2 linked regions of the Tamandua tetradactyla genome follow. The protein of the gene in region 1 interacts with the protein of each later gene in a pairwise test. Links are inferred from orthologs where the notes say so. Each region holds a gene or a part of one and is shown on either strand. Other genes may lie near its edges.

What was found.
Region 2: the proteins of AGTRAP (region 1) and SENP2 interact in binary tests that used the Homo sapiens proteins (3 or more experiments, as listed by UniProt). The two-hybrid records come from large-scale screens. The link is inferred for Tamandua tetradactyla from reciprocal best matches to the Homo sapiens genes AGTRAP and SENP2.

The regions. Positions count from the first base shown.
Region 1 is NC_135328.1:213,743,420-213,750,800, reverse strand, and holds the start of AGTRAP (type-1 angiotensin II receptor-associated protein), read left to right. Parts: upstream 1-4,369; 5' UTR 4,370-4,493; coding exon 4,494-4,520; intron 4,521-7,381. UniProt on the Homo sapiens protein: Appears to be a negative regulator of type-1 angiotensin II receptor-mediated signaling by regulating receptor internalization as well as mechanism of receptor desensitization such as phosphorylation.
Region 2 is NC_135336.1:4,250,397-4,258,283, forward strand, and holds the start of SENP2 (sentrin-specific protease 2), read left to right. Parts: upstream 1-4,875; 5' UTR 4,876-5,046; coding exon 5,047-5,147; intron 5,148-5,942; exon of another isoform or gene 5,943-6,108; intron 6,109-7,109; coding exon 7,110-7,165; intron 7,166-7,887. UniProt on the Homo sapiens protein: Protease that catalyzes two essential functions in the SUMO pathway.

The DNA of each region.
Region 1 (7,381 bases):
GCCCAAGAGAGCCTCTGAGCTGCCTCAACTGTGACCCTACAAGGTTCCATTGGGTTCCTTCTCCTGCCCCCATCTCACTGCAGCTGACCCTCCAGAGAGGAGAGAGAGGGTTATGGGCACAGATCCAAAAAGTAACACTGGTGGTCCAAACGTCCAGGCCATCCTCAACTCTGCCAGGCCTTTGGCCAAAACACATAGAGCTGGCAAGTTTGTGATGGTTGAAAGGAAACACTGGAGAAAAGTCTTCTAGAAAGAATTCCAGCCGCAATCCTGGAGCCACCAAGGGGCCTTCCCGGGCCCTTCTCCAGTATGCTGTTGGCGAGTGGCTGTGCCTCCGCGCAGGTGTGTGTGCATCTCCAACAGCATTTGGGTTGTTGTCTCTGCTCCATGTCCTTCAGTTTGATGTACCTGCTTGGGATGCAAAGCGGGTGGGGACCCACGTCAGAACTGCTGGGGCCACCGCAGCACGTCCACATTCTAACTCCTGGAACCTGTGAACATGACTGTCTCTGGAAAAAGGATCTTTGCAGATGTAATTAAGTCAGGGATCTCAAAATGAGGTCATCCTGGGCTTAGGGGGCCCTAAATCCAATGGCAACGTCCTTACAGAAGAAAGAAAGAAGAATTGAGACACAGAGAGGGGCGTGCGATGGTGGAGGCAGAGATAGGAACGATGCAGCCACAAGCCAAGGAATGCCAGCAGCTACCAGAAGCTGGGGAGGGGGAGGCTGGTGGAAGACAGGAAGGATTCTCCCCTAAAGCCTCTGGAAGCAGCCCGGCCCTGCCCACCCTACACCTTGACTTCGAACTTCTGGTCTCTGGAACTGTAAGAGAAGAAACTTCTGTTGTTATAAGTCACCCAGTTTCTAGTTATTCATCATGACAGCTTCAGGAAACTAATACAGGCATCTTCCTTCCCCTTTTCAGTCCCACCTTTCCCTGACCCTTCGATTCAACAGGCAGTTACCCCCAGGCCCGCCCCCACAATACCTGCCTATGACAGTGATACATGAGGGATGCAGAAAGCCACTGCGGGGTACATACAGCAGCTGGTCAGCACTGCTTGCTGAGCACTCGGAGAGCCGAGCTAGGTTGGCTAAGCAAATGATCATATGTGACCCTGCCTATTCTAGTTTGCTAGCTGCTGGAATGCAATATACCAGAAACAAAGGCTTTTAAAAAGGGGAATTTAATAAATTGCAGGTTAACATTTTTTAGGCCACAGAAAGATCCCAATTAAAGCAAGTCTATAGAAATGTCCAATCTAAGACATCCAGAGAAAGATACCTTGATTCAAGCAGGCTGATGAAGTTCAGGGTTTCTCTGTCAAGTGGAAAGGCACATGGCACACACGGCGTTATCTGCTAGCTTCCTCTCCAGCTCCCCGGGAGGCGTTTTCCCTCTTCATCTCCCAAATTTGCTGGCTGGTGGACTCTCTACTTTGTGGGTCTGTGGTGTTCTGTTGTCCTTCCCTGCTCTCTCTGAATCTCTCTTTTACAGGATTCCAGTAAAGTAATCAAGACCCACCTAGAATGGGTGGAGACGCATCTCCACCTAATCCAGTTTAACAACCACTCTTGACTGAGTCACATCTCCAGAGAGATAATCTAATTAAATTTTCAAACATACAGTACTGAATAGGGACTAGAAGAAACGGTTGCCTTTACAAAATGGGATTAGGATTAAAACATGGTTTTTTCTAGGGTAAAATGTATATACATCCTTTCAAACCAGCACACCTCCCCAACTTAACCTGAGGCTCAGCCTTTGACAACTTGCCCCAGGTTACTGCTGGAAGCAGGCAAGACAGAGCTCCCCCAAATAGTTTATCTAAAGGACACACACACACACACACACACACACACACACACACAAAAACACAGGAAAGGAAAGGCTGTAGCTGCTTCAGCCACCTTTTGCTTAGCCAACTGTGTGGACCGAGCAGGAAGCCATGCAAGATAATTGGTGGTTCAACTGTGGTTTCTTTGTTTTCCTGAGCAGCTGCCGTATGCTGGGCACAGGGCTAAGTGCTGAGATCGAGGGTCCACCTGGAGCTTTAGAGTCTGGTTTGGAAGGACAGGCAATACATAAATACATTGATAGGGCAATAACTCCAGAGATTGATGAGTACTATGAAGAAAAGTAAACTGGGGGAGCACAACCACCTTGGAAAACAGTTTAGTAGTTTTTCAAAGAGTTAAATGCACACCTGCCATAAGATCCAGCCATTCTACCCCTGGGCATTTACCCAAGTAGATATACAATCACCATTTGCTAAATGAATGGAAAAAAAGGGAGAGAGAGAATGAATGAACCTATTCTAGGTGTCAGATTCTTTGAGGGTACAAAGATAAACAGGTACTTTTTTATTTTCAGCTGAGCCAGACAGAATTAGTGAGGGATGTGGAAAACATAGACTTGAATTCCAAAAGTATATTGACTAAAAAATGCCCCCAAAGCCTTGCAGAATGTGCTTTGTGGGGGTCTGTTTGTCCTTCCATGGTCAGGAAGAGGTTGTGGCAGGGCCCCCGGCTCCTCTGAAAATGGACAGCTCCATTTTCCTTTGTGTCTCTGTGCCCACTCTCTCCTACTGCCCCCAGCCAGCTGGGTCTTGCTCCTGCCCCCTGCCACCCCCACCCCATGCCTCTGGCCCCAGCTGGCCCGAATGAATGCAGCCTCAGTGTGCGAGCTGCAGAGTGTCCCCACAGACCTGGCCCTATGCCTCATCAGCGCCTGTCTTCCCTCCTTTCCTAGCTCAGCCCAGGGGCGTATTTCCCTGCGATGCAACCAGTGTAGCTCGATGGTTAAACGTGCTGGCTCTAGGACCAGACCCCTGGGTTCTCAAGCCGGTTTCAGTGATGTGACTTCGGGCAAGCCACTTAAAAGTCTCTTAATGTCACTGTAAAGAAGGTAAGGACAGAATCTACACCATAGGGTTGTTGTGAGCATGTATTTTACAGTGCCACAGAATAACTATCTAGGAGGAAATACTTAACTTCCCCATGTGGGGAATTTCTGATAGTCTCGCAAGCAGTGGGGACAACCAAATCAACAGGATTAGCCCTCGATCTTGGGGTTCGCCCCTATGAAACTTATTCCTGCAAAGGATAGGCTAAGCCTACTTAAAATTATGCTTGAGTCACCTGCAGAGAACCTCTTTTGTCACTCACATGTGGCCTCTCTCTCTCTACGCCAACTTGGCAGGTGAATTCACTGCCCTCCCCCCTACGTGGGACACTACAATGGTTGTATCAACTATAGACTTCAGTTTGCAGTAATTGTATTTTTTCTTATATACCACCCCATTATTAACACCTTGTAATAAGGACACATTTGTTCTAGTTCATAAAAAATAAACCTTTCTCATATTTTTACAATTAACCATTGTCATCGTCCACTCTAAATTTCATTAAGTTATAGTGCCTGTTTTCATCCTCTAGGTTTCCTTTTGGTGACACAGATGACCCTAGCCTTCCTCTTTCAACCATAATCACACTCAGCTTTGTTAATCACACAATACTGTGCTACCTTCACACAGTATTGTGCTATCCATTTCCGAACCTTTACAATCAACTTCGTTAAACATTCTGTATCCTTAAGCAGTCTCTACCCACTTCCTATCTCCTGATAACCTATGCTCTCAAATCACTCTCACAGTTTGCTCGTTATAGTTAATTCCTATTTGTGAGACCATACAGTATTTGTCCTTTTGTTTCCCTCGACACAATGTCCTCAAGGCTCATCCATATTATTGCATATAGCATAACTTCATTCCTTCTTACAGTTACATAGTATTCCACCATCAGTATATACCACACTTTGTTTATTCACTCGTCAGCTGATGGGCTGTTTCCGTCTATTGGCAGTGGTGACTCTTCCTTTCTTCACTTGCTTTCTGCATGCTTGAGGTGCAGACAGTGTTTCATAGGATCTCTTTCTCCTCAACTCTTCTTCTTCTTGCTGGGTTTCCAGTTAGATTTTTCTAAAACTTTTGGTAGGCTCGTTGACTTAAGTGGGCTCCAGCAGTGGGCCCCTTGTGTGCTGATAACAAAAGCTTGTATACGGCCCTTACCTTATTAACTCATTTATCTTTGCAAAAAACCTACGAGGTCGGTACTGTAAAGTCTCCACCTTGATGTGCTGAAGGGGCAGAGAGGTGACTTCGGGGATGAGACACCTGCAAGTTCCCCCGGGCCTCCTGGCTGCAAGTGGTCCCATCAGCCCAGGTGCCACCACCTGCTGCATACTCGTCAGTTTCCCGGGGCGGAGGCCGGAGCCAGAGGCGTGGAGATGGGCACGCGAAGCCCGACGCCGTCTCCTGGCAACCGGGCCTCAGTCACGTGGCCCGCTCGCGCCGCCCCACGTGGCCCGGGCGCCGAGTTGGGGTTGGAGCCGCCACCGCGGGCCGGGCGGGGCCGGCAAGTTCGTTTCTCGAGTTCCGAGCCCGACAGCTCCCGGCGGCGGCCGCGCAGGTGTCCTCGGCGGCGGGCGGGATGGAGCTGCCGGCCGTGAACCTGAAGGTGGCGATGGGCGCGGCGGGCGGGGTGGCGGCGGCGGGCGAGGGCGGGTCCGTGGGCGTTTGGGGCGTCTGCCGGGGCCGAGGAGCGCAGACGTGAGAGGACGAGCGTCTGGGAGAGAGGCGGGGAGAACGGGCAAGTTCCGACCCCAGGTGAGCCAGGGGTGGCCAGACAGACCCTCGCAGGGGGAAGGGGCCACGGAAAGGTCAGCAGGGCAGACCGAGAAGGGGAGCTGGAGGCCGGTGGGGAGGAAAAAGGTCGCCCCTTTCCGAGTCAGCCCGCTCTGTGGGGACTGCTGAGGCCTGCGCGCCCCGCATTCCCTCGAGGCGGAGGATGGCCTGGGGGCGGGGCAGGGGCGGGGCCAGGAGCCGGGGGCGGGGCCACGAGGAGGACACCTCCCCCCCGCCGGGGAGAGGGACGAGAGGGGCGAGACCTCTCACGTGAAGGCTTTGGGGTGGGCTGCTTGGCTCCGCCTTTGTTTACTGAATCAGGCAATGGAAAGCAGATGTTTCCAGACCAGCGGCTTCCCAGCTTTCTTATTTCGTAATTAAGAAACACGGCCGCCCATAAAAATTACTTAAAAGCAGAAAGCCCCAGTTAGTGCAGTTGGGAAAATGCGGTGGCGCTTCCTGGGGTGTCCCCACTTCCTGTGCCGCGTCCTCCGCTCGATCACGTTGGTCAGCGGAGGTTCTTCTTTTTCTCTCCGACCCGCGTCTTGGCCGTTTCTGACCCAGGGGCTGTTAACTTTGGACTGGAAGGGGTGCCCCTTGGGCCAAACCTGTCCGTCTTAGGTCTTGGCGCAGCCTCCTTTGAGACCGTATCCATGCTCTCCTTTAACTCGCGAGTGACGATACGTATTTAGCACCCCCTGTCTCAGACTAAAGACTAAAGGAACCCAAAGGACGAATGTTCCAGAACGACACGTAATCCATGTTGGATGATTAGGCATGGCCTGTGCTGTGGTTTCACCGGGCAGATTTCCCTTCTTAATCATACTTGCTTCTGCAAGTTCCCTTGAGGCTTCCAGTCATCGGCTGGGGCTAGGGAAGGGGGCTAGGTTTAATCTTTAATTGGGAGATTTCTTGGGGTCAGTACCCACTTTGTTCCTGTGATGTGGAGTTAGTGCAGAAGTTATATGCCTGCCTGTATTCAAAATTTTGTCCATTAGAGCTTTGCATAGAAAAAGTGATGAGAGAGAACCAGGCCAGGGACAGAGCTGCAGGAATGGAGAAGACAGGAGAACTGTCATTTATGGTCTGTCTGTGGTGTGCCAGCATAACTGGCATTGTCATCTTTTTACAGATGAGCAAAGTAGTTAAGAGAGGATAAGTAACTTGCCAAGGGCACACAGAGATTAAATGTTGGATTCGAACCCACAGTGTCAGACTCCAAAGCCATGTCTTTTCCTGGGTGTCAGGCTAGTTAGGCTGACTTTCTGCCCTGGCTATTTCTGTCCATCAGAGCAGGGGTTGGGGCTTATTCCATTTGAACCTTTTTAAAGCAATTTTATGTACCTGGTACTTCAGGTCCTGCAACAGGTGTGAGCTGTGCTGATTTCTGATGTCCAGAATGAAAAGGCTGGCCCTTTTCCCAGGCTCCTAGTAGCTACCAGTCAGAAACATTAAGAGTTGGGCGGTCCTGAGGGGCTAGCGTTGCCAGATAAAATACAGGCCATCCAGTTGAATTTAAATTTCTGATCAATAAGGATAAATTTTTAGTATAGGCATGGCCCATGTGAAATACTGTTTTTTGAAATTCAAATTGCACTGATGTTTTGTGTGTTTCTTTGCTAAATCTGGCAAGCCAGTGGTGGAAAGCTGTTGATGCTGTGCTCCCAGGCACCTAAGTGGGACGTTCTGAAGTCAGAGCCTGTCAGAAGCTGGGGCAGTGCTGGCTCATGTTGTTTGAGTGTCTCCTTGTGCCCAGCTAAGTGATAGATGCTGCTCTTTGCTCGCCATAGTGGGCAGTGGTGCCAGGTGAGAAGGAGCCACCCCATGCCCTTTACTCCCAGAGCAGTCTCTCCCTGAGCCCCATCCTTCCCTGTCTTGAAGCAAGTCCTGAGCAGGAGGAACGACGCTACGAGAAGCTTAGAAAGGACTAGACTCAGATTCATGAAGTCTAAGGGAAGAAGCCCCTGATGGTCTGGAAGCTGATCTCCTAAGAGTACCACTGGCTACCAGGTACCAGGGCTGAGCACCTGGCAGGTATTGTGTCGAGTGCTTCAATCTCCTTGTACCCCTAGATCCACAAAACAACCCTAGGAAACAGGTGTTATTACCCCTACTTTACAGAAGAACAAGTGGCCTCTGAGAGGCCAAGGGTCTGGGTCACACAGCTTCTAAGTCACGGAGCCAGGATTCAAATGCACATATTTGAATCCAGTGCCCACGCAGATGACCATTCCATGACCCTCTGTGGCACACCTGACTAGTGCTCCTAGCCTCAGCCATCTTCAGGTGTCTCGCTGTCTCACCTAACAGGTTGCTGAGTCTTTGAACAGGGCTGTTAGAAATATGTTCCTTCTGTTGATCTTAGATCTGTTTGCTGCTCATCTAGGACCCCACTCTCTATCCACCCCCCCCCCCCCCCATAGCAGACAAAGAGTTTAAGTCCTGCTCTACTTGATCCTTTGGTTTCTCCTTAACGTTCTCTTCTCCAGGCTAACCCACTTCATTTCCATCTGCCCTTCTTCATGTGACCCTTTCCTTGCTCCTCCAGTTCCTAACAGTGGAGCACGTTGAATAGAGCACAGGCCTTGGAGCCAGATAAACCTGCACTGAGGCCAGGCTTTGCTACTTATTAGCTCTGTGACCTTGAGCAGATTTCTTAACCTCTCTGAGCTTTGGTTTCCTTGCTGCAAAAGA
Region 2 (7,887 bases), on another chromosome or scaffold:
TCTGCATGCAGGTTGGCAATACAGAGGTAAAATACTTTTTCTTATTAAAATTCTAAAGAAAAAGAATAAATAAAAATTGGGGGAAATGTTTCATTTTAAAAGAATGTGCATCAGTACCATATATTTTAGATTTATTTGGATGTTAAAGTGCAATTCTAAAATATTGTCATCGAAGCCAGATTTCTCTTTTTTTGTTTTTAACTAGCTGGCTTCCCAAGCTTTGGGCATGAGAATCCTCAATCTTCATTGGAGTAATTATTCCCTGGAGCATGCACACAGAGTTGTCCTTCTGAGAAGCAACTCTATCGAAAAACCAACACCTGCAGTATGGAAGATCTATTCTTGTGCCTCTGACTTGGGGCTCTCATTTTGGGTCCACCCCATTTCTCAACTCTTGGTATCCCTGGCTCCTTCGGTTACATCTCAGTTTCAGCTACTTCTAGAGATGCAGGGATTGCTCTTTCCTTTTGATGTTCTCCCTAGGACCAACCATACTAAAGTTTCAGGTTGTCAAATGGCCTATATGTTAAGTCAGACCACCCTGAAAAAAACCTTCTGAATTTGGTGAAAACCAACCCAACCATTTCAGTGATTTATCAACAGAAAGACAGGAACCTGATTTTATTCATACGGATTAATATTAGAGTGGGAAAGGGTGGCCAGTAAGTCGGTGGCTCTTGCAGGATGTGAGAAATGACCAAGGCCTTATGACGGCTGAGAGCAATTTGGAGAAAAGAAGCAGATCTGTGAACATGTTAGGATGTAGAACTGATAAGTTAAATGACTTATTACATGTGAGAAGGAAAGAGAGAGAAGAGAAACATTAAGCATTAATTCAACCCAAAGATCTGAGAGGCAGATTTTATTAACCTCCTTCTACAGATTAGGAAATCAGTTAAGGTAGGACTTGGTGCTATTTCTGCACATGAGATAGGCTGAACAATTTGCTGTAAATACAGTCAAGTATTGTGAGAAAATCCAGGACAAGAAAAGAGTGCATGAGGTTTTAGCATAATAAGGCCATGGTTATTATTAGACAGCTTGAATAAGATCAAGGGCACATTATTAGGAGTACACATTTTTCTTGAATACCAGAGGAGTTGGTCCCCAGAAGGAAATTAATCTTGAAGGTGATGAATTATGTTAAGTTTGGGGCACTTTGGACTCCAAACAGCAATATCTCATCCTGGGGCTCTTACCCCATGAAATAGTCCAGAACTCCATTCTGATAGGGGGGTCACCAAAAGCAAAATTGAGGAGAAATCTTTTAACATTCAGTGGATTCTCCAGGAGAGAAAACGTGCAAGACTGAAGAATGGGTTGGTGGGCTGGGTCTTCAGTGTTCTTTGAAGGGGAGGTAGATTTTAAGGAAAATGGGGGTGGAGCCCTGAAGGACAGAAGGAGAGGCTCTTAGCAGGAAGGGGACAAGGATCCTTAAGGAAAACTGGAGCTTCTGCGTGGGAGACCCTGTTAAGGCTTAAACAATTAGGGCTCACATTAACCAAATCAAGGGCAGAAATCTCAGTGTCTTTGTCACTCCATATGGCCTTGGTAAGGCAGGTTAGTTAGGGAACTGCGGGGGGGGGGGGGAAGTCACCCCAAAATCAAACTTCCTTTTGATGCACACACACCTAGGTTCACCCCAACCCCCAAACCCGCCCCCTCACACCTAGCCCTCACTGAGGTTGGCACCTGAAAAGAACCAATGAAAAATGCAGCTCTTCAATCCATTATTAGCATAGCCACGGGGGGGGAAGGGCCCCTCCAAGTCCTTACAATACTGGGATCCTGTGCTGGTTTGAATTTGTAGACCCCAGAAAAGCCATGTCCTTTAATCCTCATTCAGTATTGATGGATGAGAGTTTTTTAATTAACCATGGAGATGTGACCCACCCAATTGTGGGTGGTAACTTCTGATTAGATGATTTCCATGAAAAAGTGTCTCCGCCTATTCAAGGTGGGGTTGCTTACTGGAACCCTTTGAGAGGGAACCATTTTGGAAAGAGCCATGGAGCAGAGTCCATTCCGCCCGAGACCTTTAGAGATGAAAAAGGAATATGTCCCCAGGGGAGCTTCAGGAAAAAAGAAGCCTGGAGAGACAGCTAGCAGACATTGCTATGTGCCTTTTCAGTTGAGAGATAAACCCTGAACATCATTGGCCTTTCTTGAGTGAACATAAGCTCTTGTTGGTGCCATATTTTGGACATTTTTATACACTTGCTTTAACTGAGATATTTTCATGGCCTTAGAACTGTAACTTTGCAATTCAATAAATTTCCCCCTTTTAAAGCCGTTCCATTTCTGGCATATTGCATTCCGGCAGCTTGCAAACTAGAACAGATCCTGACCTCAGAGGGCTTTTCCTCCTTAGGAGAACGCCAGTGCTCATCTTCCTTTGAGTGTGTACTTTCACTACACATTAGGGTTTTGAGCTGTACACACTAGCTAGTCTTTGGATTCTTTGGCCGTACACACTGACTAGTCCTCAAATTCTTTCCTGTGACTGAGACAATGAACCTTCACAGCATCAGCCCCTGGTGGAGAGATCTTAACTTCTCCGAGAATTCCTGGGGCTCTCCTGCATCAAGCTTATTAAACTATTTGGCCATACACACACCGACTAGTCCTTGAGTTCTTTCCTAAGATTGAGTTAAGAAAACTCACAGCACTAGCCCTTCGTCTCAATTTCTCTGAGAACTTGTGGGGCTGTCTCACATCACCAGGCTTCTCCCTTGGCCCTCCAAAGAAGAGTTCCTGGGTACAGCAGTGGTGGGGAGGCCGCTAAAGGTGACCCTATTCCAGGGCCATTGGATGGGCAGTGTCACCAACTGGCAGTCAAGTCCCAGGTGGAAGCAACTGTAAGGCTGAGCCCCCTTCTAGAGGCACTGTGAACACTGGAGGAGTCCATGAGTGGAGCTTGGGGATGGGGGGTGGGGGACTTCCATCCTTATTGTGTGAGTTATAGTTGGTGAGGTCTTAGGAGCCTGACAAGTTCACAATTCTACAGCACTGGTTCTTTCCATGGTATGTGACTAATGTGTCAGTACTGGGTATGTATGGGTGCTATTTATGAGGCAGGAAAGGCAAACAAATAGTTTTGGTGTTATAATGAACTGCTCCGACACTTGAACCCAGTATTTCTGAAATTTCTGTGCCTAGAACCTGAGATAAGCTGCTATTGTAAAGCTACTTGTAATTTTCCAATTCATGTTTGGAAACAAGACTGCTCTTTTGTTTTAGAGAATCTCTTAACACTTGAGTACATTTCTTCATTTGGCAAGAGTAAAGACCAACTCTTCTAGTGCAATGGTGGACTGAGACATTAATAATACTGAACTCTCATAATAATGTCAACAGTTCTCTTTCAAGAGGAATTCCAATTCATTTTACATATTATATAATATTATAAATTCATTTTTAATTTATTGGGTTTAGCCTGAAATGGGACAGGTAGGGGTGGGTGGAGTGGAAACTCTCTTCTGTTGAGAAGAGTGGAGAGAGGGTCTTGGGAGTGGGGGGATTTCCTTTGAGAAACAATGGGCAAGAGGCCATAGATGCTGTATATCTAATAGTCACTTCAAAGTCTTCTCTGCCTTCTAGTTTTCCTGTTATTCACAATCTTTCAGTAACATCCTGGTGATAGCTACGATTTGGGGAATCAAGGGAGGGGTGTGTGTCCACACTTGGGTCTTGCTTCCACCGTGTAGGAATTGCCTGCAAACCCCAGGCCAGGGCAGTGGGAGCACAGGTGAGAGGCTGGTGGTTCTGGAGCTCTAGGGGGTGGTTTACATCAGACTTTGGGAACAGTCATTAGGGGGAGAAGGAGGCTGTGCTGCAGAGTGCCTGTGTCAGGTGAACCTTGAGCGTGTATGGAAGTCTAGCCTTAACGGAATCAGATGCTGAGAAACAAGTGCAATCAGGGGTGGATTTGTGGGAGATAAAAACCTTTGTGGAGTCCCAGAATTTTGGGGGGAAGAAGACTGAATCCTGAGATGCTGGATTTTCTATCATCAGGTAGGATGAGGACTTGCTCTATTGTTGTCTAGAAGTGTGACAGAGGTTACAGAGGGAGGGTAATGTGATGGGATCCCTGTTGCCCCAGAGAGGAGGTTTCTTTTCATCCTTACAGTTCTTTGAAGCTTTTCTTGAGAAGATCTGCTCTGGTCCTCCCTCCCTGAGCATGTAGGTTTCCTCTGGCTCCCACTGCACTTTGTAGACCCCTTTATCATGGAGGTCAACTATCCTGAACTGTATAATATATAATGATATTATATAGAGAATATATATTGCACAATCACATAATTGTAATTATCTGTGTGCATGTCTCTTCCAGGAAAAGGACCCCAGTTCAAATTCCAGCTCTGCCACTAGCTAGCTCTGTGGTCTCAGGCAAAATACTCAATTCCTCAGTACCCTTATTTATAAACTGGGCATAAGACTTGCCATTCCACGCGGTTGCTAAGAGAAATGAAGGTAACAATGCATGTAAATTTCCCGCGCACACAGTATACAAAATAAAGAGCGCCTCGCACGGTGAAAAGCTCTCCATTAGCCTGGCCTTTTATTCTACACACTCAAATACTTACTGGTCACCTATAGCTCCAGGCCTCCGCGCCACTCCGCGGCGCAGCAGAAACTCTCATTGCGGCCTGTGTGCCTCGTCCCGCAGGTCTGCTCAGGACTGGCCCGGCTGAGGAGAAAGCCCGGCCCATCGCCCATCAGACCTCATTAACTACTGGGCCTGGATTGGCCCGCACGCACTCTTGTTGCTAGGCTCGGGGGTGTGTGGTGCAAATTCGCGCGTGCGCACCCTGGGGACCAAGGCGCCTTTCCGGTCGGGCGGGAGGAGGTGACGTCAGGAGCCGTGGCGGGCGGGGCCCTCCTGTAGCCGTGGGGACGCTTTATCTGTGGGCCTTCGGATCGCGTCACAAGTTGGCGACTGCGCTGTGGCCGTGGTGGCCGAGGCGGCGAAGGCGGCAGCGGCGGCGACAGCTCTGGGGTTTGCGTCTCGGGGTGTGTCGGCCGCCGCTGCTGCTCAGGCCTGGTATGTACAAATGGCTGATTAGGATTCTCGGCACCATTTTTCGTTTTTGTGAGCGGCCGGTGCCCCCTGCCCGGGCCCTTCTGAAGAGGCGGCGCTCTAACAGGTGAGAGGGGAGGGCGCGGAGCGCTCACCCGGCCTAGCTGTGCCCCCCACCCCCTGCGTGCTGGATCACACCGGTCCTGCCGGGGTGGCCCTGCTCACCGGTTGCTCGGCTGGGGCCGATGATGTGGTCGCTGGGTCCGGGTGACGCAGCTGCTCCCTCCACCTTGTGGGGATGCAGCTCCAGTGAAGGAAGCAGCTAGGCAAAAACGTATCTTTGGAGTGACCGGAGGTGATAGGATGTATGATGTTCTTGTTAAGAGTCCAAGCTGGTTGCTCACGTTCAATGGGGCTTTGTCATATTTTGCCGCCCTTAGATGGAAAAGTAAAAATTTAAGGAATACGGTCTTTGTTGTGGCTCGCTATTTACAAAGCACTTTACCAAGTGTCAGCTTAGCAATAAGAGCAGTTAAGGGGAAGTCAGATTAGTAGCTTGCCCCCAAAGCTGTTTTGATTGCAAGCACTGTTCTTCTAGAACCTAGACAGCAGCTGTTTTGTTCTGAAACAGCTGCCAGTGTGTGTTTGGGGTATGGGGGGAGTGGTTCTGTGCTTTAAAGAATTAGTGTATGAGAAAAAGAAGTAGGTATGTCGTTCCTTTAAAAAGATCACTGTACTATAAACTTCAGTTAAAATTTAGTTAAAACTAAAAGCGGTTCTTATTTAGAATCTATCCCTTAAGTTTTGTTTTATGTTCTGGTGTCTGTTTCTTTACCTAAAAATTGATCTAGAGAATGAAATACTGTATAAATGCTATACCAGCTAGTGGTGTTCAGCTGCTAATTTCATTTCTTTTTTAAAGCCTCAGGATCAAGGAATGTGGAAAAAAGGGTAGTTTCTGGGAGCTGAGAGAAGATGATGATACACAAGTCTGATAATGCAGGTCATTGATGAAATTGGTTATTGGCTAAATTCCATCACAGGGCATTGTTTCAACCTACTCCTTTCTACCTTTCTGCAGAGTTGATGTGAGGATCATTTAAGATCATATTGTAAAGTGCCTAACACGGTGCTTAATGTATGTAAGGGTAATGTTTGTTTACCTCCAGGGCCTTGTGGAGTGTCTTGTGCATGGTAGGCACTTAATACATGTCTTTTCTTAATAAAGGAAAGTTAATGTGATCAGCTTTTCTCCTTTTTCACATGTGGATCCCTGCTAGTTAGGAGAACAGTGGTTTGGATATCAAAACCCTTTCTTTACAACACTTTCTTCACTTCCTTAATTTAAAACCGTATTTCTCAAATAAGACATTTTTCAGTCAAAATGAAATCATGTTGGGATTTGAAAGTTATGAACTGAATGTTGTCCTCCTAGAATCTCGTTCTGTTTATTTCTTTGTAAATAATAATCAGTAATAAGGATTCAGAATGATGATCAGTAGTACACCAGGAGTCTTTAACATTCTTGAAATATATGTCCAAAACTTTTCTGAATTCACATTTTTTTATAACTGCTGTAATACACTTTCCATGGTATAAATGCAGTTAAATATAACACCTTTTATGTCTAATAAGTATCTTTCAAGTTTGCTTATATTCATCACCAAACTTAGAAGATAGTTTTCTTTGGGGTCATCTTTCAAAAGGAAATTGTTTTTTGTTTTTTGTTTTGTTTTTTAATAATTTTGGAGAGAAAAAGGAAATACTAGTTCTAGGCACTTACCTAGGTTCATTTACTTGTGACTTAAATCCACTTTCACATTTGTACCTCAGCCAGATTACAGGTCTGTTATATGATAGGGAGTTTGGGATCTCTCTCAAACAAACTTCCATTGTGTTAAATCTTCAAGTGGTAAAAGCCTACTATAAAGTAACATTCTCTTTTAAAACCTCGGTTGAAGATCATTTTATGACAAAGTGAATGGAAAAGTGTCTGTTGTATGAATAGTAAGTTTACTTATAAAAATGGATGTTTATATATATACATATGTACGTATATATTTTTCTTCCTTTTTCTCTCTCCCCTCAGCACTCTGTTTTCCACAGTGGACACTGATGAAATACCAGCCAAAAGACCAAGATTAGGTATTGAATATTAATTTTAAAAATTATGTTTTTTTAATAGGAAAAATAAATGCATGGAACAAAATTTAAAAGGTAAAAGTATATTCAGTAAAAAGTGTTTCTTATTCTTTTCCTACTCAGATATCTTTTCTATATGTAACCACTTGTACCAGGGACTTGTGTATCTTTCCAAATAAATAAGCCTATGTGTTGAATGTTCCTTTTTTTTTAAATCTTGTGACTTATTTTCTTTTGAGCAATATAAAGGGTTTGGGTTTTTTTCTTTAAATTTTTTTTGTTATTAAATGTAACGTATATACAAAGAAAAGAAAGAAAAAGCAATGATTTTCCAAGTACACTTCAACAAGTAGATACAGAAAAGATTTCAGAGTTTGTTGTGAGTTACCGTTCCACTATTTCAGATTTTTCCTTCTCGCTGCTCCAGAACACTGGAGGCTAAAATAAATATAGTTTTTCTTTTTTGTGAAAAATAACATATGTACAAAACAATAAATTTCAAAGCACATTACAACAATTAGTTCTAGAACAGATGTCAGAGTTTGGAGTGGGTTACAATTTCACCATTTTAGGTTTTTGCTTCTAGCTGCTCTAAGATACTGGAGACTAAAAGAAATATTAATATAATGATTCAGCAATGATACTCACTTGTTAAACCCTACCTTTTCTCTATAACTCCACTATCACCTGTGATCTTTCTCCCACTCTTTAGAAGTGTGTAGGCT